4 linked regions of the Mytilus edulis genome follow. The main gene of each other region encodes a partner of the protein of the gene in region 3 in a complex. Links are inferred from orthologs where the notes say so. Each region holds a gene or a part of one and is shown on either strand. Other genes may lie near its edges. The genes, in order: transmembrane protein 17-like, transmembrane protein 237-like, tectonic-like complex member MKS1 and B9 domain-containing protein 2-like.

The links.
Region 1: tectonic-like complex member MKS1 (region 3) and transmembrane protein 17-like share a complex: the UniProt entries of both Homo sapiens proteins name them as parts of the tectonic-like complex. The link is inferred for Mytilus edulis from reciprocal best matches to the Homo sapiens genes MKS1 and TMEM17.
Region 2: tectonic-like complex member MKS1 (region 3) and transmembrane protein 237-like share a complex: the UniProt entries of both Homo sapiens proteins name them as parts of the tectonic-like complex. The link is inferred for Mytilus edulis from reciprocal best matches to the Homo sapiens genes MKS1 and TMEM237.
Region 4: tectonic-like complex member MKS1 (region 3) and B9 domain-containing protein 2-like share a complex: the UniProt entries of both Homo sapiens proteins name them as parts of the tectonic-like complex. The link is inferred for Mytilus edulis from reciprocal best matches to the Homo sapiens genes MKS1 and B9D2.

Annotation. Positions count from the first base shown.
Region 1 is NC_092349.1:60,256,415-60,263,510, reverse strand, and holds the start of transmembrane protein 17-like, read left to right. Parts: upstream 1-4,085; 5' UTR 4,086-4,141; coding exon 4,142-4,259; intron 4,260-7,096. Other genes in the region: uncharacterized protein, read right to left, coding at 3,133-3,207. UniProt on the Homo sapiens protein: Transmembrane component of the tectonic-like complex, a complex localized at the transition zone of primary cilia and acting as a barrier that prevents diffusion of transmembrane proteins between the cilia and plasma membranes.
Region 2 is NC_092350.1:20,110,271-20,118,067, forward strand, and holds the start of transmembrane protein 237-like, read left to right. Parts: upstream 1-4,778; 5' UTR 4,779-4,851; coding exon 4,852-5,142; intron 5,143-7,392; coding exon 7,393-7,663; intron 7,664-7,797. Other genes in the region: low molecular weight phosphotyrosine protein phosphatase-like, read right to left, coding at 4,719-4,755. UniProt on the Homo sapiens protein: Component of the transition zone in primary cilia. Required for ciliogenesis.
Region 3 is NC_092349.1:45,660,730-45,668,618, forward strand, and holds the start of tectonic-like complex member MKS1, read left to right. Parts: upstream 1-4,889; 5' UTR 4,890-4,932; coding exon 4,933-5,009; intron 5,010-7,889. UniProt on the Homo sapiens protein: Component of the tectonic-like complex, a complex localized at the transition zone of primary cilia and acting as a barrier that prevents diffusion of transmembrane proteins between the cilia and plasma membranes.
Region 4 is NC_092346.1:49,637,424-49,644,353, forward strand, and holds the start of B9 domain-containing protein 2-like, read right to left. Parts: upstream 3,027-6,930; 5' UTR 2,853-3,026; intron 948-2,852; 5' UTR 944-947; coding exon 856-943; intron 201-855; coding exon 75-200; intron 1-74. Other genes in the region: tyrosyl-DNA phosphodiesterase 1-like, read left to right, coding at 5,732-6,563. UniProt on the Homo sapiens protein: Component of the tectonic-like complex, a complex localized at the transition zone of primary cilia and acting as a barrier that prevents diffusion of transmembrane proteins between the cilia and plasma membranes.

The sequences.
Region 1 (7,096 bases), about 15 Mb from region 3:
AAGGCTACATTATCTTATCTTGTAAAATATATAGTAAGGAGGCATCGGCTACAGACATGTATTTCACATTCTGAATTATAATACAATTGATAAAAAAGTGACCGAAGACTACAACAGTCATGCTGCTGATATCGAATTTATAAGAGCCAAATTGAAATATGAGAGAATTTTTTTTTCAAACAAAAGTGATTAAGTATTAAGTCTAATAGTAATTTTTGGGGTCCTTTATAGCTTGCTGTTCGCTGTGAGCCAATGTCCGTGTCGCAGTCCGTACCTTGATCTATAATGGTTTACTTTTATAAATTGTTACTTGGATGGAGAGTTGTCTCATTCGCACTCATACCTCATCTTCCTATATCTATATATTATACAAGTTTAACAAAATAACTATACCATTTTCGAAAACAGGCATACGAACGTCCATGAATTTCATTATGCATGTTATGTGGTGTCCATGGTTTACATAATCAGGATGTCAATTCTATATCTGTAATAAGACAGAAAAATATATATTATATGAAACCTTGCACATCAGGTCGTCTGAGCATTTGTGTAACGTTTAATTATGTTATGATATATGTATATATATTTATTTTTTCATTTTTACTTTAAAAACCAAGGGCCGGAAAATCTATCTTTAAAAACATGTTACTGTTATCTGTTGATAGAAGTTAAACCTTAAAATATTTCGTGTATGTCTGAAACAACTATGTTATATCCACAATTTATATATGAACTCCCTTTATATATAGCCGATTTCGTTGAGTGTGTAGGCAAAGGTAATATCTTTGGTAAGCTTGCTTGTTAGCTGAACCATTCAGTCATTATTAGGTCAGGTGTACTATCCTCTTTTCAAATGCATTGATCGTCCAAAAAAGGGGATTCAAACCCCCCGCCCCCCCACCCTAGCCCCTGGATCCGCCACTGTTACCTTTGGCTACACACTCAATGAAATCGGCTGTAATATTATTTCTTCAAATTACTTCTATTCAACTTCTCTCAGGGACGAAATCAAAAGTTCAATGTAGGATAAAAATTCACATAGTTTTTCCACTGATTCCCCCACCCCCCCTCCCCAACTCCCTTAACTTAATTTGGGAAAAATGATTGACCAATAGGGATACATGTTAAATCGAAGTCAAAGAAACAAAAATAGCAGCCATTTTATCATTCCCCAAGTTATTTGATATAAGTTTGCTATACTTCATTGATCTTTTGATGTCGTCCCATATTGAAAAAATGATTCCAAGGGCAAAAAAAATTGAATGAGGCTCAAACTTAGAATAAAAATCTGTTGCATACCATTTGAAGTGACTAAAACTTTATGTTTAGAAATCAGACTAAAATGCTGGCTATTATATCATGAACTCGAGCATTTTTCTGCTTTTCTTTCTTTTTTGAAAGAAAATAAAATGATAAAATGATACAAGTAAAAAAAAATGAAAAAAAAATAGTAATGGTTGTAATGAGATTCGAACGTAGGACGCCCGGACAAAAGGCAACGGTGTTCCCATTAGACTACGTTGTCATCATGACAAATATTGTGTAAAACGACATACTTATCACTATTGTTTTTTTTTTATTTGTTATGTTCTCAGTTAATTCTATTTGTAGTCGAATTCATACGGAAATTGGAAATTATTTTACTTGCAAAAATTGTTAAATTTTCATGTAAACTCATTAGAAAAATCTCCGGTTAAGGATAAGCAAAAAATGTTGTTTTCGGCGGTAGTCAATTTCTCAAAGTCGTCCGCAACCGGACCGATATTTTGTTCCCAATTTTCACATATTCTGAGTATATTTTTTACTTGAAACGAAAAATTATTTAATCATTCAAACTCTTTGTAGCTTTAATATATATCATGACTCAACCGGTCTCAGATACACATGCAAATGGCTGTTTATTGTGTGTGTCAAATGCCGATGATACGTTTTCACCATTTGTTTGTTGATCCAAATTGGATAAACAAAATCTAGATTGATAAAAAGAAAAAAAATACAATTTGAAGAATGATTGCCAAATCTCAAAACTAAAAACCTCACCTTTGGAAATATTCTTGATGTAGTTGGTGGTGTCTGGTAATCACAGCTGAATGCGGAGTTTTTCAGCCCTTTCTCCGATTTCGCTCCGATTTTACTATTACGGCGAAGTTGTTGTTTTTTTAGGAGATAGTTTTATACATATTTGAAGGCCTCCGCCAACGTGAGCCAAAAGTTTCTCTTCATTATCTGAAAATTCTGTTTGAATGCTATCCTCATCACCATTCTTTTCTGTGGCTCACGTTGGCGGAGGCCTTTAAAAACGAAGAATTTCAGTCCAAAAATCAACGTTTTGCTACCTTTTGGTGTAATTAGGTAACTTTAAGCAACTCAAAATCAGATTTCTGCTTTACCAAAAATTAAAATCCGCATGAGCTTCTAAAGAACAGATATATGCAAATTATTTTCGATTATAATTTCGTTTATTTCATGATGAAAAAAAATTGACAAAAAAGGGGGCCAAATACGGCCCTTAGTGTACCTTGTCCTTTGTCTGCCATTACGATAACCGGACATTATACAGGTTCACGTAAAATTTGACATCATAATACAAAATATCTTACGCCACAATGGAAAAGTGATTGTTGTATGACGTCAATACACCTTATCACTAATCCCGCCTGACCCGGCCGCTTGAACTTTTGACGCATATAACCATGATAACAATCACTTTTCCATTGTGGCGTCAGATATTTTGTATTGTGACGTCAAAATTTTACGGGAACCTGTGTGATATCCAGTAATGGCAGACAAATAGCGATAAGGTGTATAGATCGAGTGGGACAGATATTTCTTAGGTCAGCAAGGAGTGATAAGATGTGTTACTGGGATATTTTAAGAAATAAGATACCAAGAAGGCAAGTGAGTTGAGACCACAAGATGTAAGATTATTGGTATGAGTACACACTTGTTTAACATAGTTATATGAAAATTAAAAATATTAAAGGGGGTGCATGACAGGCTTTTCCCATCACTCTTTCGTAACATATAGGCTTATATCACTTATAATTCATTATCACCATTAATCAATTTTACCAGATTATTTTGTGATTGGTTTTTTTTTTACCGCAGACTATGACATTATTTATCGACCTGTTTCATGTGTTTACGTTTTCGTGTGAAGGTTTCCGCTTGTTTGAAATTTGGTGCGAAATTTTGATTGGTCATTAGAAAAATCTCACAGTTTTGTAAAAATTAAACTTTACTTCCAAAGTTTTGAATTTTATTTCTGAAATCATTTTTCAGTATGAAAATATCAAATACTGTAAACTAAAAAAGCAAATGTTTTTGAATAAAATTACGAAAATATTGAAATCCAAACCGGATGTTTACATCATGTGACATACCCCGCTAAAAGGTAAACATGGATTCTCCACTTTTGGGGAGATCTCTAAGAAAAACGGTCACATCATTCACTGACGTGTTGTTTCCCATATCAAAAGATGCACAGGATCCACAACAATACCAACTGAAAAAGACAGGTTAATAAACTTAGTTAAAATCCTGTTATTCTGTGAAGGTTTAGCTGGTACAGTAGTTTCATGTAAAAATCATGTTGAAACACAACACTCAGATTGATTTCAGCAGCAGGTTACCTCACAATCTATACTTAACTACTGGTTCTACTCCTGAGTCCTTTCTGTTTTCGAACTTCTTTCCTACAGATTTTTATCAAATACTTCTTTTATCATCATTTGTCCAATCTCGTTCTGGTACAATCATTAGGATCAACTTAGGTAAATGCTTCTCATAAAAGTTATAGCATAGTTTTATATCATCAATTTTCATGTAGGGTACCCCATTACTACCTTTGATATATATTTACCCTCAAGGTGGCAATTTGTTCAATATGTAGGGCTGTTTCATTGTATTAACATACTTTGGTGCGAAATTTTGATTGGTCATTAGAAAAATCTCACAGTTTTGTAAAAATTAAACTTTACTTCCAAAGTTTTGAATTTTATTTCTGAAATCATTTTTCAGTATGAAAATATCAAATACTGTAAACTAAAAAAGCAAATGTTTTTGAATAAAATTACGAAAATATTGAAATGCAAACCGGATGTTTACATCATGTGACATACCCCGCTAAAAGGTAAACATGGATTCTCCACTTTTGGGGAGATCTCTAAGAAAAACGGTCACATCATTCACTGACGTGTTGTTTCCCATATCAAAAGATGCACAGGATCCACAACAATACCAACTGAAAAAGACAGGTTAATAAACTTAGTTAAAATCCTGTTATTCTGTGAAGGTTTAGCTGGTACAGTAGTTTCATGTAAAAATCATGTTGAAACACAACACTCAGATTGATTTCAGCAGCAGGTTACCTCACAATCTATACTTAACTACTGGTTCTACTCCTGAGTCCTTTCTGTTTTCGAACTTCTTTCCTACAGATTTTTATCAAATACACTAAACAATTTATTCAATTAAACCATTATCAAAACAGATGATCATGACATGATACAATGTAGTAAGAATGCTATTTCGGCATTTATCATCACACCTCCCAATATTTGCTACGTTTCACAACAAAGGAACCTTTCTACTGTTCTACTTCTTTTATCATCATTTGTCCAATCTCGTTCTGGTACAATCATTAGGATCAACTTAGGTAAATGCTTCTCATAAAAGTTATAGCATAGTTTTATATCATCAATTTTCATGTAGGGTACCCCATTACTACCTTTGATATATATTTACCCTCAAGGTGGCAATTTGTTCAATATGTAGGGCTGTTTCATTGTATTAACATACTGACAATCAAACTTACTTTCAGGATTAACAGCATCATGAACCTTATCGCTAGTTGTTAGCTGCAACCAAACTCTACAATAATTAGAATATTAAATTCATTACATTTTGCTTCTCTAAGAGGGGTCTCATTGGGGACACAGGATTGCCGATTTTTTGTAAGCGTGACACTTGAAAGCAGGAAATGAGGTCTAGCAGGACCCAGGAAATGACAAAAAAATGAGAATTGCTTACATACATAGTGTAAGCGGGATACTGGAATCTGACAAAACAGTTAGCGGGATCCAGGATCCCAACCCCCCAATGAGATCCCCTCTAAGATGGCTTCATTAAGTTCATTAACACCTGAACCTAGTCAATCAAACATTGGGTTATTATTTTGGAAATTATTTACATGTATGCACTGTTATTAAAATTATGTCAAAATAAATCATAATTTACAAAGTTATGGCACATGTTACTGTATTTGAACATGTTTGAAATATTTGCCACTGGACATGAAGCAAGTAATATGCAGAAACAATACCAAACAAATCAGAGGATGCAGTAGGCAAAAAAAGTGTTGCAAGTAAATCAGCACATATATATATATCTAAACTATTAAACGAGAAGACCTCATTTTGTGTGTCGCTTCTCTTCCTTCTACAATAAATAAATCAACACGCCTCTGTGTCTTATAGGTACAGTGCATAGTTGCATTTGTCATCCATTTATATGATTATTCAGATTGAGTTATTTTGGGAGAAAAACAAGAAAAAAGGCATCCGGATATTGTCCGGTCATTGGACGAAATTTTAAGTCAGACTAGACATCCGGTTTGCGTTTTTTCTGTACTTTGTACATAAATGTACCAAAGACTTAAATAACGTGTATTTGCATTTATTTTCAAGTTAACTATCCACTGCGGTCACTGAGTTTATTAAATAAAGATGTTCTATATAATATGTCAATGACCGCTGTGGATCGATTAGTAAATTGAGAGTTGATAGTAAAAAGCAAATACACTTTATTTATAGTAATGTATGTTCATAATATACAGATAAACGCTTACATTATTGAAATCAATAAAAGAGCAATTATAGGAAATTCTGAGGAAAAAATTAGGAGCCGGGCTAGAAAAACAATTGTCATGTCCCAAAGTATCTAAATCATTTCATACCTTTTCTGAAATTCTTCAGTCATAAAGTCTCTTACAAAAATTCATCGGGTCACTAAGTATATTAAATAAAGAGGGTCTATATAATATATCAATGACCGCCGTGGATTGATTAGTTAACTGAGAATTGATAGTTAAAAGCAAACACACTTTATTTATAGTAATGTATGTTCATAACATACTAAACGTATGTTCATATTGAAATAAATAGAAAACAAAAAAATGGAAATTTTGGGATAAAAGGAGCAGGGGTTGAAAAACAATTGTCCTGTCCCCAAGTACCTATAACTTTTTATCAGCTTTCCTGAAATATTCTCCAGTCATTATTTTTTTTACAAAAATTCAACCTACAACACTTTACATACTTTCAACCACCCTTGGATGCCCGCGATTTCGCGGGTGTGTTCTAGCATTTATCATCCTTGCTTAAAGTATTTCAGTTTGGGTTATATTGGGAGGAAAACGAAAATAAATGCATCCATATATTGTTTCCGTCATCGTACTGACTTTTTGAGAAATATAAAAGACTTCCGCTGCCCTTTAGGCCTGTTTTGAAATTAAACATAATTTGAATTAGTACTTGAGACAGAACACTATTTTTTTGTGTTTTTCTGTATACTATGATCATACATATACTATAGATAAAGCGGTCACTGAAATATTTCTGTATACTACACACACAGAGGCGGATTTAGGAGGAGGGGTCTAGGAGGGCAGGGGTCCCACCCCCCTTTTTGAGAAAAAAACTGTTTGCTTATATAGGGAGTCACTGAAGGGTGACTGGAGCAGGCCCCCTCTTAGGCAGTCAGTTGGCCCCCACTTTTTAAAATTTCTGGATCTGCCACGATACATATATACTATGAATAAATTGTATAAGTTTGCTATAATTTACTTTAAATTCCAATAGTTTACTGAGGTGACTTTTAATATATCAGTGACTGTTTTATATAGTAACTATAGTAGATATATTTTTGTTCATAGTATACAGAAAAAGAGAAAGAATAAAAATCGGTATTTGGAAATAGGGGGAGGGCAAAAAAAAATGTGCCCAGTCCCCAAGTACCTTTGACTTTTGATACCTCTCCTGATATTCTCAAGTTATAATTTTTTTTACAGTTTACATACGCTCTATTTCCCCGC
Region 2 (7,797 bases), on a different chromosome or scaffold from region 3:
CTATTCTGGACAAAGAAAGATAACTCTAATTAAAAAAAAATTTGATATTTCACAATATTGTGCAATTAGATATTTCTTGCCATTGCGCAATACTGTGCAATTGAAAAGACTTGCTATTACACAATACTTAATATAATAATTTTAGATCCTGATTTGGACCAACTTGAAAACTGGGCCCATAATAAAAAATCTAAGTACATTTTTGGATTCAGCATATCAAAGAACTTCAAGATTTCAATTTTTGTTAAAATCAGACTAAGTTTAATTTTGGACCCTTTGGACTTTAGTGTAGACCAATTTGAAAACAGGACCAAAAATGAAGAATCTACATACACAGTTAGATTTGGAATATCAAAGAACCCCATTTATTCAATTTTTGATGAAATCAAACAAAGTTTAATTTTGGACCCCGATTTGGACCAACTTGAAAACTGGGCCAATAATCAAGAATCTAAGTACATTTTTAGATTCAGCATATCAAAGAACCTAACTGATTCATTTTTTGTCAAAATCAAACTAAGTTTAATTTTGGACCCTTTGGACCTTAATGTAGACCAATTTGAAAACGGGACCAAAAGTTAAGAATCTACATACACAGTCATGACAGTTAGATTCAGCATATCAAAGAACCCCAATTATTCAATTTTGATGAAATCAAACAAAAGTTTAATTTTGGACCCTTTGGGCCCCTTATTATGTTGGGACCAAAACTCCCAAAATCAAACCCAACCTTTCTTTTATGGTCATAAACCTTGTGTTTAAATTTCATAGATTTCTATTTACTTATACTAACGTTATGGTGCGAAAACCAAGAAAAATGCTTATTTGGGTCCCTTTTTGGCCCCTAATTCCTAAACTGTTGGGACCTAAACTTCCAAAATCAATACCAACCTTCCTTTTGTAGTCATTAACATTGTGTTTAAATTTCATTGATTTCTATTTACTTAAACTAATGTTATTGTGCGAAAACCAAGAATAATGCTTATTTGGGCCCTTTTTTGGCCCCTAATTCCTAAACTGTTGAGACCAAAACTCCCAAAATCAATCCCAACCATTCTTTTGTGGTCATAAACCTTGTGTCAAAATTTCATAGATTTCTATTAACTTAAACTAAAGTTATAGTGCGAAAACCAAGAAAATGCTTATTTGGGCCCTTTTTGGCCCCTAATTCCTAAAATGTTGGGACCAAAACTCCCAAAATCAATACCAACCTTCCTTTTGTGGTCATAAACCTTGTGTTAAAATTTCATAGATTTCCATTCACTTTTACTAAAGTTAGAGTGCGAAAACTAAAAGTATTCGGACGCCGGACGACGACGACGACGACGACGACGACGACGACGACGACGACGACGACGACGACGACGACGACGACGACGCAGACGCCAACGTGATAGCAATATACGACGAAAATTTTTTCAAAATTTGCGGTCGTATAAAAATCATGGGAAAAAGATCGCGAATGGTTGAATTATATAGTAGATCGGAATTTAATGAACTGTACAACATGTGAAAAAAAGACCAGTAGATTTGGAGCCGGACCAGTAGAGTTTTTAGTCCACTGGTCCGGCTGGCCAGTACACAAAAAAGCTTAAATTCGACCCCTGTGTATAACCCATATCTCCTTTTATTTATATTCATTTGCATGAGTCATTTTTACACTGAAATGATAAAATTATGTTAAAATGAAAAGATTACCAGTATGTTTAAAAAGGGATGTGAAGCTTACAACAAATTAGATTCAATGAAACAGCAAGAAATCAAAACAATCACACATTCAATTAATATAGTCAATGTAACCTTCAGTCTCTATATGAGGGGGTTGGAGGGGTCCTGGTCCCGAAATCCTGAGCTTAAAAACATAAATTCCAGAGGTCCTGAATTTAAAGAAATTTAAATCCTGACATCCCAAAATTTGAAAAAGGAATTACAAGATCCTGAAAGGATCAATCATGAAATTCCAAGGTTAAAAACAGCTGATCCTGGAGTCCCAATAAAGGTTTGATCCCCCCTCCTATATGAAATATGCTTAATTTTTTTTCTATTAGTTTCTTTATCATTGATATTTCCACAAATCTACTTTTTCAGTCTGTTACAGTTCAGTCAAACTTTACTGTTAAAAGGAATTAATTCCTTAAAATTAACATGATTAATGCTTTCAATATAAACATCTTTTTTTATTGTTTTAAAATCTTTGAATCAGAGTCAGACAGCATATTAAACAAAATGTATATATAAATTTTGTATTTAAAAGTACAGCAATGTTGTATGGTTCCACAAAGGATTGAGCTAATGATACTATCTAAATAATAAATTGTTTTCAATATGCATGATGAGGTTGGCGGTTATATAAACCAAAAAAAAAATTTCTAAGATATTCTCAAATTATATTAGTCATTACCATTATTTTTTATATCTTTTTATATATCAGGAAAACAGTTCTAAGTGATTTAATTTCAAATATATTCACTTGGCTTTTCATTAAATATTAAGATTACAATCCCAAGCATCAATTGATTTTAGAGAATGAAACCGTCAATTCATAATAATTATTTTTTGTGGTATTTATTTTACATGTATGATACTTTATTTCATAAGAGAATCAATTGTTGTTTTGTCCAACATTTATTTGTTCATCAACATGACCAACTAGTTGGATACTAGTTTTAAAGGAAGTATTTTAGCTTTTCAATAGGCGACAGACAACAGTTGCATGCAATCATATGTGTTTTCATCTTACAGATCACCATGTTCATTTTCATGATTATAAAAATGTGTTGTAAAAAATGTTTTTAACAATTGGGTGTGAATAAATCTGCTAAGTACATACATTTTTGTACATGGTGCTGCATGTTCTTTTTTTATTGAAAAATTACATTCAGAGAGTTCTTTGTATTATAAATCAAAATTTAAGATTGCAACAAAATTTTGGAAAAGTGTAATATTAAGAACACCCCTTTCAATATTATTTTATTGTACATAAAACTGCACTTTTATAAATATAATTGGTCAAAAGCTCCAGGTTAGAGCTTGTAATGTATATTTTACTTATGCTGAATCAAAACAATTTTTTCTAATCTTATCATTTCAGTTTTAGTTTATGATTGCTTTGTAAAAAATTTCCCACTAAATTTACAACATAGCAGATTTTCTTTCATCACTGTAAAAATTTTCTTTTCTTTATATAGGGTAGCAAGCAATTAATTTTAGCTTTCATTTTGGATGTGAAAAAACTAGAATCAAAATATATGTGGTCACCGAATGAGGGTCCTGGCAGTTTATTATGAAACTGGTAATCTATGGTGATTGGAATCCATGAAAAATCGCCCCACTGGCAATTGCCCCACACCTAATCGCCCCACTATTTGAACAATCGCACTTTTGTTTACCAAATTGCCACAGGCACTTGTCTAAGAAAAAAACCACTATATATATATTAAGGTATATAGGAAAATTAAATTCTGAGACAAGTGCCTGTGCAACTTGCCCCACCTATGAAAAAGGGTAAACTCCCATTGAAAATAGGTTGGATAACTTGCTCCCTTTTATGAAATGGGTAAAAAAAGCCTCTGAAATAAGGCATGCCACCTCGCCCCACTTGTGAAAAATAGATAAATACTGATGAATTTAGTAATGCCAACTCGCCCCACTTGATGCAAAAGGTGCATTCCCATTGTATATATATCTATTTTCCTCTCCCACTTAAGTAAATAAAATCAATACCTATGAAAACCTTAGATAACATTTTTCTCCCGTCTGAATGGTTTTACACTAGTCATTTTGGGGGCCCTTTATTAGCTTACTGTTCGGTGTTAGGGTAGTAATGAGGGTACCTTCATGACAAATAACCGTACTTATTCTTGCCAAATGGCGTTAGAGAAAATTTTTGGTGTATGACGATTAAATGTACTTTCTTTGAGTCGATAAAAATAGTAACTAATTTAGACGAATCACGTTAATTTTTTTCCAAAAATGACGGTAACAATAATTATTTGAGACCGCTGACGAATCACAATAAAGATCTTTGACAAATCATCAAAATTTTTTTAACCAATTTGACGCTTATGGTAGCCGAAAATGACTGTTTGATGCCTGTTGATAAAGGGCATTACTACTTTCATGTTGAAGACGCTTAACTTTGACCTACAATGGTTTTTCTTTTACAAATGGTGTCTTGGATGGAGACTGAGTTGTCTCATTGACAGTCATACCACATCTTCTTATATCTTTTTGGTGGTTCTTTTCTTTTTGTTGAAAAAAAAATTAAGAAGTGAGTATCAGAATTTCTGTGACGTGAATGCTAATTAACTAGCACCACTTGTTAAAATAGAAAAATCTTGATGAATTGAGTCTTGCAAACTTGCCCCACTTATGGAAAATAGAAAAGTCCTGATGAATTGAGTCATGCCACTTCATAGTTTTTGAGTGGGGCAAGTTGGCAGACCTGCAAATTATATATTCATCTAGATTTGACCTTTTCATTAAGTGGGGCGAGTTTGCAGGAGAAAAAATAATGCAATTTAACCCTTTTCAGTTTGAGGCGATTTTTTTAAAAGTGGGGCGAGTTAGTGAAAAAGTGGGGCGATTTGGTGTGGGGCGATTTGTCCTTACGGTGATTGGATGTTTCATTAAATCGTGAAAGCTTTTTACCCTTTAAAAAGATGGAAATAAGTTATTACGGGCTAACAAATTGTCTAAGTTAGAAGGAGTTAGATTACCAAGGCAAATAAACAAAACTGAATGCTTTTTAGACATTTTCCTGCAACTTTTTAGGAAGACTGCTGGTGGATTCCGAAACGAAGAGAATTATCCGAAAGTTACCGGAAGTTGTTTTGTTTATTGGATACAAAAATGGCCGACAATGAAAATCCTCCGAAGAAAAAGAAATTGCCACCAGTTACACAGGCATCAGAAGAAACTGATGTCCAGAAAAGACCAGTAAGAAAAAAGAAAAAGAAACCAACCGAAGCAACAGAAAATGGCGAAACCGGATCAACAGCCACTACTCCTAAAAAGAAGAAAGCACCTGTTGCAACAGAAGATGGAGACAAACCAACTCCAAGGAAAAGGAAGAAACGCAAACCACCAGAACAGGCTGAAGATGGACAACCTACATCAGCAAGAAGTGCTGCTAGTCAAGAGGTTATTGTCATAAAGATCTGCTTTCATTCTAATACGAAATATACAAGATACATGTAAAGACATTTAAAAAAATGATGTGTTTGGACTTGACCAGAAAAGGCCTAGGATAACCATTAAATAACATCTGAATAAGGAATAGGTTTATAAGATGAGTAACTTTTAGGGAATACTTTAGGATAAATTAATTTTTCCATTATTTCTAATCATCTGTTTCTGAAATCAATTATATTTTCCTTCGTTTATATAAAAAAAAAACATGACTGAAGTAGTGGTGTAATTGGAATCTGGGTCCGTTCACCCTGATTCATGTTCGCCCTAGTATCTGTTCGCCCTGATACCTGTTCGTCAAGGGTCCATTCACCCAATTTTTATTTTTTTCTATTTGTTGTCTAGTTGCATTATTTAAGTATTTGAACAAAATATGTTAAAGTTTGTTGAAAAATTGACAGAATATTTATATTGCCGTAATCAATTGTTTTTATTAATTTCAAGCTGAATATTTTATCAAAATAACACGTTTGTTTTTATTATTAATCCATCAAAAGACAAGTATCACAATAACCAGTGATCCGAATTATTTTTTCTTTAAACAATTAATGATCCTAAACAAGCAATAAACTCTGCAATGTTTCCATAAATATCAAGAATATACATGATATATATACATTGTACATGTACCATAGAAATATCTCAATAAATTTATTCAACTTCAATTCATATTGATATTTTTATAGTAGGACGAACAGACACTATGGGCGAACGAACTCAGAGGGAACGACCCTAGGGCGAACATGTCATTAGGGCGAACGGTCCCGATACCGTGTAATTGGCAGTATTCAAACAACTTGCATAGTTCTGGATGTCATTTCATCCAATACACTTTCACACCCTGCAAGTTTGCACCTCACATGTTTGCCCCCTGGGTCTGTTAGCACCCTACACCATAGTACACATTCAGGCCCAATTTTTATTCAAATTCCAGATCAATTATTAGATATTTATTTATATGTAATTGTATTAAGCAAATAAATTATATTTTCCTAAATAAAAATTGAGGAATTATTACAGTTTTTGTACATGGTTTTATTTTTTTTATTAATTTGATGATAATTGGTATTTATACACAGCTAAATTTGGTATTATTGTCTTGTGTCAGAAAATCGTGATGGTGGTTTTAATTATTATACTTTGGTGTAAATAACCAAAATATGATTAAGATTTATTCAATACAAAACTTTGTCAGAATGGTACTTTATTTTGAAACATTTCAATGTCATTGAAAAAAAATACTTATAGCAATACACAACCAAAACATGATAAATATTTATTTAACAAACCATAAAAAGACAGAATCTAACTTTATTTTTGAAATAGTGATATGTTCACTAACCAAAACATGATATAGATTTATATAGAACTCTATTACAAAATTATTAAACACAAAACCTCTTATTTTTACTATAAAAATCATTGACAAAACAAATAAAAAGGGTGGGAACGAACTTTGGGAGCGAACATATAGGGAGCGAAAATTAAAGGAGTGGAACCAGAATGGGCGCGAATGTACCTGGATTCGATCTCATTTACATGGCAACCCCAGTACTGGATAAGGCAGTACATTGTAGTTTCACAAGAAACAGAACGAACTCTGAGTCTCAATATAATTTTATAAACTGTTACTAAGTTATCAGATATAAACAAATTTTGGAGAAATGGTTCATATTACTACACGGCAGCCTCAAACAACATAGTTAATGCGCTAGTATAATAATAATAAAAATGCTGAAAAAATACCATTAAATAAAAAATTGGGATTCACTTGTATATTGATTTCAGTATGGATGGCTGTTTAATGTCCAGTAACGAATTTATATGCATATATTCATAATTCATGATGAGAATATGATAAAGTGATATGAAGATAGACCATACCTTGTACTCTGACAGGCTTTAAAGCAATATTTTTAACATGCTACTTGTAGCTTACAAGGTAATAGTCTGCAAGACTATATATCACCTTACCAGGTACCCAACACATATTTCTGACTTTGAACTGACCCATTTTTGCTCTTACTCCTACATGTACATGTAAAAGCTACATTATCGAAGAAGCAGCAAATAATAATTTTCAAGATTACATTACTGTTATGATAATTAATTTGAACTTAATTCTTAAGTGAAGAAACTTTCAAACTGAAATAGTAATAACAGGTTCATTTGTACTTATGATAATAATTGATTTATTTCCAGGAAGTTGGTGGTAGTAAAACAAGCCTAATATCTAAAGATGATAAAAAGACAACACCAAAAAAAAAAGTGAAGAAAAAGGTGAAGAAAGCCTCACCTAGAGTTGGAGATGAGTTTATGGATGCAGCATTTGCTGCAGACTTGTCAACCATACAAGAAGATATTGTAACACCAGACGGCAAGAAAGACGAAGATGTTATACCTCATCCCTACTCTACAGAATCTATTGTACTCAAAAGTCAGCCATTAGATAATCTATTTATAGAAACTAATTGTAAGTAAAAAAAAATGTACATATAAACCTGCTAAAAGGCAGGTGTTATTTTTCTCATTCACTTCATTTAAATCTGTTATACAGGTCTGACTTAAAACAGTCTATCATTCTATATATATATACAACTTGTCTAA
Region 3 (7,889 bases):
TAACATGTATTGATAAGCGCAAAATGGCTTGTACCCATATTTTGACTATTGTATTTATTGTGTCTGTTTATTTAACGCATCAATGTAAAAATATCGGAAATTGATGAGACTGTCATTAAAGTGAGAGGGTTAGCGCTATAGAACCAGGTTTTATCCACCATTTTCTACATTTGAAAATGCCTGTACCAAGTCAGGAATATGACAGTTTTTGTCCATTCGTTTTTGATGCGTTTTGTTATTTGATTTTGCCATGTGATTATGGACTTTCCAAATTGATCTTCCTCTAAGTTCAGTATTTTTGTGATTTTACTTTTTTCTAAAACTTGACGAGCTATTTTTTTTTAATTGAAGTACAAATGTCCTCACAAAACTGAATACAATCAAAAGCAATTTTTTCTAAACAATTACTTCTGAAGATTAATTGTCAACCGCATTGTGTCCTTTAACATTATTTCCGAATTGAAACAATTGGCCGTTTCAGAATCTAAAGCATCATGGGTAATTTCATTGTTCGTACCCCAAATTGAAAATAACGTTACGTCATTGGTTGAATTTCCATTGTTTATAACGTTTTAAACCAATCAAAACGCTTTGGTGTACGCTTTTGAAAATATTACCCAGGATGCATTAGATTCTGAAACGGCGAATTACTAGGGTGGCATCAAATTACCCATCAAATTCCACTTCACTTTTTTTTTTTTGTCAAAAATTTATTTGATATAACAATTATAGTGCATTATTGTTCAAGTAAATAAAAGAACGAGTTAATAAAGCTAGGATACGATATTGGAAGGTATATACACGAAAAAGAATGAATTATACAACATGCGATGAAATATTACATATTTAAGAAACAATCCGAACACCGTTTATAAATAGCTTCGCCGAGAGCGCATGAACTTCCACTCTTATTCTGAATATTGAAATTGTTGTTATTGAATTAAATGGGACATTTTTTTTTTTGGTCAAAAATTTATTTGATATAACAATTATAGTGCATTATTGTTCAAGTAAATAAAAGAACGAGTTAATAAAGCTAGGATACGATATTGGATTAAATGGGACATTTTTTTTTTGGTCAAAAATTTATTTGATATAACAATTATAGTGCATTATTGTTCAAGTAAATAAAAGAACGAGTTAATAAAGCTAGGATACGATATTGGAAGGTATAAATCACGAAAAAGAATGAATTATACAACATGCGATGAAATATTACATATTCAAGAAACAATCCGAACACCGTTTATAAATAGCTTCGCCGAGAGCGCATGAACTTCCACTCTTATTCTGAATATTGAAATTGTTGTTATTGAATTAAATGGGACATACATTCAATGGTATCTGCTTTAATTGTGGCTTTTATGGTCATCATTGTAAAGACTGTCACACACTTTAGGATAAATCTGATGTATTTCAATTTGTAGACAAATTATCAAATCATAGTAAATCATTACTACTTCATAACAATTTCGATATACTTCTCAATTTATGTCCAAATTGTAATACATCAAAATGTATATGTACTCAAAAATGTATGTCTGTAGCTAAAAATTTTGAAAACAAAAGTTCAGAGAAAATTGTCATAAATCAAAAAATGGTATATGTGCTAATAGCCTCAGCTCAAAACCTAATTATAATAGAAACAAACATTATCAAAAAAACTGTCTTAATCTAAAATGTAAAGGTTTCAATGCTGTATGCCTTAATGTTCGACATATTCTATCTAAATTTGACGAGTTAAAAAATATGATTACTATAAACAACAAATATTTAGATGTATTTGGATTAGTTGAAACATTCTTAAAACCTGACATTAACAATGAACAATGTAAAGTGCCGGGATACAAAATTTTCAGAAAAGATCGCCAGTGTAAGGATGGTGGTGGCCTATTGGTTTACGTCAAAGATTCTATTGCAGTTAAAAATAGATCTGATTTATCAATTAATACATTAGAAACTTTATGGTTAGAGGTAGAATTTCCAAAATCTAAACCTTTCTTTATTTGTACTATTTATAGACCACCAAATTCCCCTCAGTCCTGGATAGATCTTTTTGAGGAAGAATTTAATGCAGTTCTTTCAGAAAACAAAGAGATAATTTTAATGGGGGACTTTAATATTGACTTGATAAAAATTGAGAATAAAAAATGGATCAATTTCATAAACAATTTTAATCTTCAACAACAAATTTGCACTGCAACACGTATTTGTGACAAATCTGAAACTCTAATTGATCATATTTACACTACTAATCCTGAAAATATTGTCCATTGTCATGTTCCGTCATATGCTTTAAGTGACCACTATCCTGTATGCTTAAATAGAAAAATCAATATAAAGATAAAAAAAGAAAGTCATATCGAAATAAAGTATAGGTGTTTCAAAAAATTTAATGAAGATGCCTTTTGTACAGACTTACATCAAACCCCTTTTGATATTGTTGAAATGGAAGATGATATTGATATTGCTGTCGACAAATGGTATGAACTTTTTAATCAAGTTATTAACAAACATGCACCAATGAAAACTAAAAGAGTAAAAACATTTAAACAAGCCAAATGGTTTAATGAAGAAATTAAAAATTCCATTCAATATAGGAATATGTATCATTCAAAAAAAGATTGGGTAAACTTTAAAAAGTGGCGTAATAAAACAACGTCGTTAATATTTAATGCAAAAAAGGAATATTACCAAAACGCCATAACTAGTTCCAAAAATAGTAAAGAACTTTGGAATCATATTAAAGAGTTAAATCCAAAAGAAGATAATATTTTCCCACCTAAAATGCAGTATGAAAATCAAACGGTTTATAACAACCAAGATATTGTAAATACTCTTAATGTTCATTTTTCATCCGTAGCTGAAAAACTTATTGGAAATAATACTTCAGATATGGATTTTTCTATGCTACAAAATTTTACTAGTGAAAAATTAAAGAAAACTGAAAATTTTCATTTAAAACTCATTTCCGTTGGAGAGGTGTGTTCTCAACTAAAACATCTTAATATTAATAAATCCGCAGGTTTAGATGGAATTGGTCCCAAATTTTTAAAGCTAAGTGCATAAATAATATCCCCATCATTAACTTTTTTAATAAACAAAAGTATAACTTCAAATCGTTTTCCGCAAAAATTAAAACTTGCAAGAGTAACTGCTATACATAAAGGAGGACCAAGAGATATTCCCTCAAACTATCGTCCAATTTCTATTTTGAATACCATATCTAAAATTTTCGAAAGACATGTATGTACACAGTTATATGAATTCCTAAACAATAATAAATTGTTACATATCGCCCAGTCAGGTTTCAGACAAGGTCATTCCTGCCAAACAGCGCTAACTAAACTAATTGACGAATGGTTAAAATATTTAGATAATGGAGAAATAGTTGGTACAGTGTTTTTAGATTTCAGTAAGGCTTTTGACCTTATTAACCATGCCATACTTTTAGAAAAGTTAAAATTTTATCATATCGGAAAACATATAATAGATTGGATAAAATCATATTTGTCTGACAGACAACAAGAAGTCCAATACGCTAACATTAAATCTGATAAATCGTTTGTAAAGTATGGAGTGCCTCAAGGTTCTATTTTAGGTCCGCTGTTATTTTTAATATATATAAATGATTTACCACTTCATGTTAAACAATCCAATATGGATTTATATGCTGATGATTCAACATTGCATTTTCATGATAAAAACATTGAAAAAATAAACAGCATATTGCAAAATGATTTAAATGCTATACAATCTTGGTGTAACAATAACAGTATGAAAATCAATGCACAAAAAACTAAGTGTATGAAATTGGGTTCAAAACCAAAACTTAAACAACTATCAGAATTATGCATTACCGTCAACGAAACATGTATTGAGAATGTCCATTCTTTCAAATTACTTGGAATTGACATTGATGAAAATTTAAGCTGGGAAGATCATGTTGATCGTGTATGTAAAATAATCTCTTCTAAAGTATCACTTTTATATAAAATTAAAGTATATTTGCCAATACACACAAGGCAACTATTTTATAATGCATATATTCTACCATATATAGACTATTGTAGTTCAGTTTGGGGAAATTTATCATTTTACACAAAGATTCAGATAGAATCATAAAACTTCAAAAAAGAGTAGCAAGAATTATACTGGAATGCGATATTTCTATTCCATCTAAATTCATGTTTTCTTCTTTAAAATGGCTATCTTTTACCAAAAGAATAAAATACCAACAATCAATTTTAATGTATAAAATTGTAAATGGGCTAACACCTGATTACTTAGCAATTCTAAATATTGATGATGTGCAACGCCACAACCTACGATCTGTCTCTAATAATGATCTTTTTGTTCCAAGGCCAAATACAAATTTTTATAAAAAATCTTTTCATTACTCTGCAACCAAAGTATGGAATAATTTACCACTCGAAATAAAAAAATGTCCTAATGTGGAATTATTCAAGAAACATAGTTATAATCATTTTCTTGAAAATTATATGCAAGTCAAATAATTTGTTTTTCTCTAACAAAACTATATCAAATATTGTCATTTATTACTCTTTGTATATTTTAGTGATTGAATTGTTGTATATACTAGTAATATATATTGTAATTTAATGTATCAATGTTAACTGTATGCATGTATTTTGTTTGAGGGCCTCAATGAAAATTAGAATTTTTCTAATTGAGTTACCCTCTTTAAATAAAGAATTTATTATTATTATTATTATTATTATTATTAAGGTACGATTTTGACATACTGTCGCCCCGAATCGTCGTCTCTTGTATAAACCGGAATTTCATAACAATACCAGACTTGTTTAAAATTTACATAATATAGTAAACAAATCAATAAAGCGTTTGATAACAGGGGAACTTTCATTCTTTTATTAAGAAACTATACAACATCGCAAATAGTTTACGGTCATGGCGGACTTGTACGAACCTGATTTTGGAGCTGCTTATTATAGATCAAAAGACCCTGTTAAGAATCTCAAATTCAAGTAAATAATTTTGCAATTGTATCAGAAAAACACAATGCTCAAATGAAACTAAAAAATTACGTTCTGCTAAAAGATCTGATGTCAAAATAACGTCAAAAATGACAAATTTTGAATTCATGAAAAACTAAGATTATTTCCAACTTGAACCAAGTATATTCCCTTAAAATTTATTGTGATTTACAATTTCTTTTAATTTAACTGTTTAACATCAAATAACATGCATAAGGTACTGTTATATGAGGCAGCCCTGTGAAAGGGTATGGGGTCTGCAAACCTTAAGAAATACATTATGATACCCATTATCAGAAGATTAATAATGATGATAAACATTTCTTGTAAGTAAATTCCAAGCATCATTCCTGCTTGAAAGTAACTGAATTACTGAAATGTACATGTATCTCATGTCAGTCAAATTTTTTGGAATTTTATATGTTCAATGTAAACAAGAAATTTTATCTATATGACAGGTAGTGTATTTTTCTCTCGTTTTAATCTCCTATAGTATACTTGGCGATTACAATACCAGGGCTTTCCATTGAAATTGAAGTAGAAGGCTCAATGAAAATTATAGGCTGCTGTAACATGCGTTCGGCGAAGCCGGACGCCCACCAAGCTGTAAGCTTGGTGCCTTACAAGTTACAGCAGGGAGTCTGGGAGGCCCCCAGACGCTCTGGCATAAATAGAGAAAAATCCTGCATTCTCAAAATCTCCTGGCACCTAATTTCATCTTTCAAATGACCATTTTTTATGTATGAAATTAAAGAAACTCTGAAAGAAAAAAAAATCTCAAAGAAATTTCATTTTTTTTATGTTTTAGTTTTTATTTTCATTACCTTTTGCTTAAAATTCATTTACTTTTAAAGGAGATTTATTTATATAATAATCTGGTTTGTTAAAAATCTTGATTGATTTATTTTGCATAACTACGTGCATTTGTAAACAAATGACCCCCCTATTCTCTCTAAAGACTGTTACGCGTATTTAAATCATACAATTATTTCTCAAGCGTTGACAGAAAATTGATTTATCCTCTGATTTTCTCTTTTTTTGTAAACTGTTCAATAAGTTGGATACATAAATCAGGCCTAAAATAAAATTTCATTTGTTTGGCATTGCCGCCCGACCCACTGAAAAACTTGCCGCCCAAATAACTTTATTTGCGTTTCAGAATTATTTTTTTTTTTATTTAAAAAAAATCGAAATTGTGCCGGCTTTACTTATTTCAAATCACGATCTTAAAAGCGCTTGTCTTACACTGTATTGGGAGCAAACATTTAAATGACATGGAATAGAAAAAGTCTGCCAAAAGTAATGTCAAAGAGGCCGGCAGGGGAAAGCATCTCCCTATGCTGCAATGCATTAGATGGATTTTATCAAAAATCAATTTTTCAGCTATTCTTTGAAAGAAACCTTCTGAGAGACCTTGTAGCGGACTCAAATTTTATCTTTGATTAAGCAGAAACAGATGATTTCTGCTTGACTTTGTCGCTTCATGAGATAGAAGTTTTTCACCGGAACATCACAGAACAAATATGTGTGGCTCTTACATTTGTTAAACTTATTAAATATTTGAAATTTATCATTGACAAATTTTCCCTTGAACCAGAGAACAAAGTATCTACTATAGTCAGAACCACTATGATGCATCTGAGACTACTATAACACATAGTGTTAATAGCTATATATATAGTAGTCTCAGGATGCATTCAAGATAATTATGGCTGTAAGCACCAAAGCTCAAAGACCAAAATGGTCCCAGATTTACAGGTTTATAGTAGTTTTGTACCAGTAGATGCTAGCCTGGTACAAAACATACATATTTTAAAGACTAGCATCTTGTGTCAATTGAAGTACTTCCCCCTTTTCTTGCCTTTCTTCTTAACATGAATAAGATAATTCTTAAAACATAAAAGATACTGACAGAAACATATGTATAAATGTATCTAGTGTACTAGTGATGAATAAAATCCCCTCCTTTTCCACAATTCTAAGGGCTCATTAATTTATCTGTATGCATGTAATGCATGTCCAGATTTCTGTTAATCAAACAAGCATAACAACCCATAATTTATTTATCTGCAAAAATTGTCTGTCCTGCTGCATATTTCCATTTTGAATTTATCATACGTTTTAAACTTAGCCCTGAAAAACCTTGCACTTGGATAATATTAGTATAAACACCAAGTCTATTTGTGCCAACCTTCCAAATTTTTAATATTTTGCTATCCTAATTTGGTACAGATCCTTTATCCTCAAAACTTATCAGGGGCAGTAGGCGTGTTTGTATGGTAGTTCGTCACACCTTACATGTATGATTACTAGCCTCTAGGTATTGGTTGAGCCCTAGTTGGGCAGTTGCAAAATTAAGGTTTGATTTTCATGTCATATGTGATAAGGTTAGTCAGTTTCCTCCTGTAGGTTGGCGTTTTCCTTCAAGTACTACGGTTTAGTACGCCACTAAAACTAACTGCCATGAAATTACCCATATGGTGTAGAAAGTGATGTTTATAAAACCAAAGCAAACAATCAAAGTTTTAAATCTTTGTCCATTTCTACAAGGAGCCGTAGTGGTAGAGCCATTTAACTTATGGTAATTTTACCAAACTGTGACCACAACTTCAAGATGTGACATCAGGCCTCTGTTCAATGGGCAGTCCCACAATTAAGTTCAATTTTCACGTCATACATTTTATATGGTTAATTTGTCAGTTTCCTGTCTCAGTTCTGTGTTTTTTTCTGGGTACTTTGGTTAACTTTGACAATAAAACTGACTGTCTTGCATGAAATTATCCATATGATGTACATTGTAGAATGTGACATTGACAGTTGACCCCTTTCAAAGAAACCACCAACATGTACACACAACAATGCTTTAGACAA
Region 4 (6,930 bases), on a different chromosome or scaffold from region 3:
AAACCAATCAAAATCTGATATTTTGATAAGAACTGAAGTGTAATATTTAATATTGTTTTAATTGAACAAATTACCTTGTAAACCTTTGGTTGTAAAGTGAACATCTATTGGATGAGCCCAGTATGCTTCATCATAATTTTGTGGGTTATCTACTTGTGTTTGTCCTTCTCTTAGACCAGACAAAGCTTTCCATGCTCCTCCTGATAATACAAAATATATCATAAATATGAATTGATATATGAGGTACATGTAGTTTTACATAAAAAAATATCTTATAGTATAAAAACAAATAACTAACACTGGACTTTGACTTTGTGGTCTTCATTGGTGAATGTAAGTTAACACTTTAATCATGCACATTGTTTATGGATATACAATGTAGGTCAATAACAATGAAGAAAACTATTTACTGAATTTGAATAATGTGTATCCTGTGTTATCTGACATACTGGAGGACCAGAAAAAATGTTGGATTCAGCAGGGTGTCGGAATACTCTGGCAGGTTTTTTTTTTGCAAGGTTAAGCAAATTGGGACCATGAAAATGTGTCGGTTAAAGCAGGATGTTGGAACACTCAGGTGTCAGAAAAGTCAGGTTACACTGCATAATCAATCATAACACACTGAAAAAGGGCTAATATACAGACAAAACAAATTCTCTAATCAGATTTTCTTCAAACAGATTATTTTCTTCAAAATTTTGCTGAAGACTACAAGTAAGTTTAATTTTGAATGTTTTTTATGTTTGCTTGCTATTTCACAGTCTTTATAATTCTAAAGAACTAGTCAAAGTTTATTCAAAATAAGTTTTAAAAAAATGTATGTATATGTTGTTTAATAAGTCTATTTCAACACACCTGTATGTATACCCCATTTACAAAACAAACTATGATCTGGAAATCCATCAGCACCAAGAATCTGTCCTATGATATGTACTTCTGCCATGATTCTGTAAAAATAAATCAATTACTCTATTCAAGATTCAATTATGTCGGAGGAAAAAAATAAAATTACACAATTTAAAACTCACTTATTTCACATATATATATGTAATTCAATTGAATTCTCTCAAATACATTTCCAAAAGTACATTATATGTTCATGTTCCCCATTTCCATTCTTAATTTTATGTTGTACATTTTTATGTATAAAATGTATCAAAAGTCAAATTAAAGGGACTCCAAAATTACTAGTCATGCTAGTGTACACAATTCAAAGAGGGAAACCAACGATCTAATTTACATATATATACAAACGGGAAAATACATATGAACAGAACCACACCAACAAACGATACATGTTACTACTGAACAATAGACCCAGAATCAATGCGGACAGGTGCATAAACATGCAGTGGGTATGGATAGTTTCGTTCCGCTGGCATACAATATAATTGCAGTTGAAGGCAACTCTTCTCCTTCAGAAGTTCTGCATTCTCTATTTTGACAACGAACATTTTTTGATGGGCCGGGAATGTAGGTGAGGGGGAAGAAAACTAATGTACAGGTATTTTCCCCTTGTTATATATTTATATCAGAGCACTCCCACTTTGGATATATGGGTTTAATGTTTAATCAAATTTTTACAAAAACATTTACATAGTGTGGTGGGGTGCTTATAGGTTTAAAATCATTAAATACAGGTAAGCAGGTAAGACTGTGATTTTAAATTAAGGGTTAATATTTTTTTATAATATTTACCAAAAAACAGACAGGATTATATTTCCGGATGCGGGAAGCAGGAATATAAATCTTAAAATTTATTTCTGTTTCGAATAAAATAGGTGCGGCCAGGTCTGTCAAATAAGGAATTAAATTGATGTGGCCTCAAAGTCATTATTGCAGTACTAGTCTTCTTCTTTAAGGAAATTTGTAAATGGATTCATGTGATAGCTTTATGAATTATGTAGTATTGAATAACACAGAAAGTTCTCTCTTTGGTATTTACATATGTATTATAAACAATGTTTGCAACATATGCATTTTTCAATTATAACTCTAGAATCCGGATCCGTTCGCGCCCATTCACGTTTGCACCCACTCATGTTCGCCCCTTTCACTTTCCCACCCTACATGCTCGCACCCAAAGTCTGTTCGCACCCTACATGTTCACGCCCAATTTTAATTGGTTTTTTTTGTAATCATGCAAGTTTTGGTAAGAGTATTCTTCTTGTCATTGTCTTAAAATAAAGTGAGACAGCATTTTATTTTTGTGTTGAATAAATCTTAATCATGTTTTGGATAGTGTATTGTTAAAAAAAATATAATCCTTTCTATAAATAAAGTGGGATTCTGTCAACGTTTTATTTTGTGTTGAATAACTCTTAATCATGTTTTGGTTACTGTATTCCTATAACTTTGTTTCATTGACTTGTTTCAAAACAACTAAGTGAGATTTTGACTACGTTTTTTTTTTGTGTGTTGAATAAATTTTATCTTGTTTTGGTTATAATAGTGTATTGCTTTATTTTATTGTTTAATTGTTTCAGATCAAAGTGACCAAGCTATCAAAAACAATTATCTTTTGTGGTTTTTTTTTGGGCCCAAACGTGTAGAGTGCGAACGGACCTTGGGTGCAAACCTGCGAGGAGCAAACGTGTAGGGTGCGAAAGTGTATTGGGCGTTAACGGACCTGATACCATAACTCTAACCATCTGGTGTCTCTTTCCTTTTGTGATAAATATTTCAAACAGAAAGAAAGCAATTAAATGAATCTTGTAGTTAAATTGGCAAACCATTTTATTTGACATGCCCAACCCGTCTTTTCGAACATAAAAATCAAAAGTAATTAAAACCCGCTAGGAAAATTCAAGTTCGAACATGGCCAAGGCACTTTAAACTCTCTTTTTGCTTACCACGCCGTAATTTAAGTAGATAAAATGCTGAATTCAGTAATTTTGTTATTAAATGGTTAAAACTTTTCTGATTTAGGCTTCTCTGATATCTTATATATCAGGAAATTTCATTTTCTTTAGAATAAATTGTTAATGTTCATTCCTGTCCACCATTTTTGTTGACATTAACAATTTGATATTTTCGTATTTTGCATAAATCCTATTTATCAAAATAAATTGATCTTGGATGAATAATTAGTTGCTATTTAAAATGAAACTCTTTGTTAAACGCTTTTAAAAATAAAATATGAAATAATAACATCCGAAAATAATTAGTAAACAAATGCTGATTTGGCACATGTGTGAGTTCTATCAAGATAATGACAACTTATCATATTTGTCAGTGTAAAATTCATAGCTTATAAATAATCAACATCCTGCATCTCCCTCATAAACAATCATCAATCTCTCATATAAATTTACACGTGTGCTCTTGCATTTTACGTCTAATAACCAATTCCTGTTCTGGAGAAGGAATAAAACACATTGTCCAATGCTTTAAGGTTCATCATAACCTTTTGGCTAAAATGGCCTTATTTACACCCCAAATTTTACTCTGAGTACAGACTAACCTATACACCTGCAACAGTTTTAAGGGATGGCAGGAACTAGATATATAAATTTTAAATGCATTTTATGTTTCAGAAAATTATAAACTTTTCTAGATTTTGCTATCCATTTTTTTTCGTTCCTGCAGAAGGTGCAAAAATTAACTAAGTAGTGAAAACGATTGAGAAGCTCCCCTCATATAATGAATGTTGTGAGTAGTATTGATTTAAATGGACAATAGACACCTGTAAACAATAGGTGATTTAACAGGTTTAAACTGTGTCACTGAATGGACCGTATCAAATGAAACTCGGGTGTTTGTTTATTTTGCTATCTTCTGCAGACTGGAAAAAAATGAACATCAAAATCCAGGTAAGTTTTTAATTTTCTGAAACGTAGACTTCATATAACTTTTATATATCTAGTTCCTGCCATGCCTTAAAACTTTCCTGGATGTACCAGTTTGTCTGTACTCATAGTAATTTTGGAGGTGTAAACACGGCCATATTTTTCAATTCCTTATGATGAACCTTAAATACATGTATAAACAATAACGATAATAATTGATAAATTCTTTATTTTTAGAAATCTGTCTGGCATGACCCTGGAATCTGTTCCGCTTGAACGTTTGACATCATACAACAATCACTTTTCCATCAATCTAATTAAAAACCGATCTCTCATCGCTCCCGTTTTCTGATATGTCGCATGGGAGATCTAACGAAACCGGCTTTGAGGTCACATGTGAGTGAACTAAAAGTTATAAATTTATAATGATATGCAAATGAGTTGATGACCTATTAGTAAGCCAATCAAAAAAGTTTATGAATTATTTTGACTGACGATTTCGTCGTAAATAAAATGAGTTACATCCCTTTACCTTTCATTAAACTTTCAAGATCGTGGAAGACTCAATTTCATTGGTCGAAAAAGACACACCTACGAGGTCACTCACATGTGACCTCAAAGCAGGTTTCGTTAGATCTCCCACGCGACATCAGAAACAGGAGCAATAAGAGATCGGTTTTAATTAGATTGCTTTTCCATATGAGCATCACTGATGAATCTTATGTTGACGAAACGCTTGTCTGCTGTACTAAATTATAATCCTGGTACCTTTGATAACTATTTACACCACTCATGGGTCGATGCCACTGCTGGTGGACATTTCGTCCCGGAAGGTATCACCAGCCCAGTAGTCAACACTTCGGTGTCAACATGAATATCAATGATGTGGTCATTTTTATGAATTTCCTGTTTACAAAACTTTGAATTTTTCGAAAAAAACTAAGGATTTTCTTATCCCAGGCATAGATTACGTACTTAGCCATATATTTGGCACAACTTTTTGGAATTTTGAATCTTCAATGCTCTTCAACTTTGTACTTGTTTGGCTTTATAAATATTTTGATATGAGCGTCACTGATGAGTCTTATGTAGACGAAACACGTGTCTGGCGTACTAAATTATAATTCTGCTAGTGGTACCTTTGATAACTATTATGACTTTGTTTAAGACCCCAAACTAATCAATGGTAACAACAGGTGTCATAATCTGTTGTTACAGGTAATCTGTTTATTGGATGGGTCTTTAATGATTACTATATTAATTCATTCAAATAGAATCGATAGAAGGAATTTGCATATACATGTAACAACACTATGTACTGTACTTTCCTAGTGTAAGAATAATTTGTACCTCAGCCATTGTCAGCTCAGGCCAACAGAATGTATACAAAACTTTCCCAAAAAATCGGATTGTGTCTGTTGCTAAAGTAGACCTTTATAAAACTGAATCACCCTATACTAGTATATAAGAATCAATTGGATATAATTTGTAGAATATTCCGTATTGATTTAACCTTCCATTAATGGCCTGTTATTAATGAATGATAATTGTATATATTTAAGATTGTTTTTTGTGCATAAATTAATATTGTCATTTCTTCAACGTTGTACTTTATTTGGCCTTTTTAACATATTTTGATTCCAGCTTCACTGATGAGTCTTTTTGTAGACGAAAATTGTGTGTCTGGCATATATATAAAATTTGAATCCTTATATCTATGATGAGTTTATTCTATCTAGAACCTCCCAAAAAAGGGACAAACCTTGTTTATACTGTCCTTTGCTTTCTGATGTTGTCCCTTTCTATTACCAGGAGGTAAAAATAACCTATTTGTAATATGGTATGTAATTTAAAAAAATTCATGGTAAATTTATTTTTTTTAGGAAAAAAAATGTAAATTAAATTCCACACTTTGATATATATATTGGAATCATTTTGATCTTATGTCTGCAAAGGGAGGTCATCATGTATCTGATACAGACTCGGATATTACTGTTGGACCAGAAGATAGTGACGTGACCACTGAATCACCACACAAATCACCAGTAAATCTTCCGTCATTAAGTAAAAGAAGAAGTGAAGTTCATGAGATTTCAGAGTCTGAAGAGGAAAGTGAAGAATATTTCATTTTGAAAGGGACTTCTAAAGGGAAAGGAAAATCTTCATTATTTAACTCATTGAAATCCACATCTGAACAAAACGAATCTAAATCACTTGTTAAACAAAGTAATAAATCATCAGCAACTTTGACTAAGCTTAAGTCACAAGAAAAGACAACAAAATCATCATCAGAATGTTTTTCAAAGTCACTAGACAACAGAACAAAGCCATCATCAGAAACTTTGACTAAGTCAATCGAGAAGAGATCAAAGCCATCATCAGAAACTTTGACTAAGTCAATAGACAAGAAGACAAAGTTGTCACCAGAAACTTTGACTAAGTCACATGACAAGAGAACAAAACCATCATCAGAAAGTGTGACTAAGTCCTCTGAGAAAAAGACTAAGTCATTTACAGAAATAGAGAACTGGTTAGATAAGATTGATTCCAGTCCAGAGGCTGAAAAGGTTGATATTAAAAAAAGATTTGACAGTCCAGTGGAGAAAGGCAAACATTCTGATTATAAACCATCACCATCTAGTGGCTTGAAGAGAAAACAGACAGTTTTACTTGAAGAAGAAAAGAAGACAGTTAGTAGGAGGAAACCTCCTTGTCAGTATGGGTCAAAATGTTACAGGAAAAATCCATCTCATCTTCAAGAATTCAGCCATCCAGGTAATTAAATAGCAAAGTTAAAAAAAGAGGATTTGCATCAATTGCCTGTCCTATCAGGTAGTAGTAAAATTTAACAAAAGAACATTTGTTATCATTGTACAAAAACAACCTGCTTGTTTCTTGTTCATTGTTTAGTGGTAAAAGAGCAAGGTCAGTTTGTCAGTTATATGCTGAAAGGAATAAGTCAGATTATTTGAATAATAGGTCTATGATATAGAATGGAAATACTTTTCATGATTTGATATTGCATGTTGAGCATTTTGTTTCAGGGCAGTTTTCAAAGCCACTTGTCAACTACTGATCACATTCTTGTTCGACTATAAAAATGTCTGTAAGAAATCAAATATGCTTTCTCTAAGCATGTTTA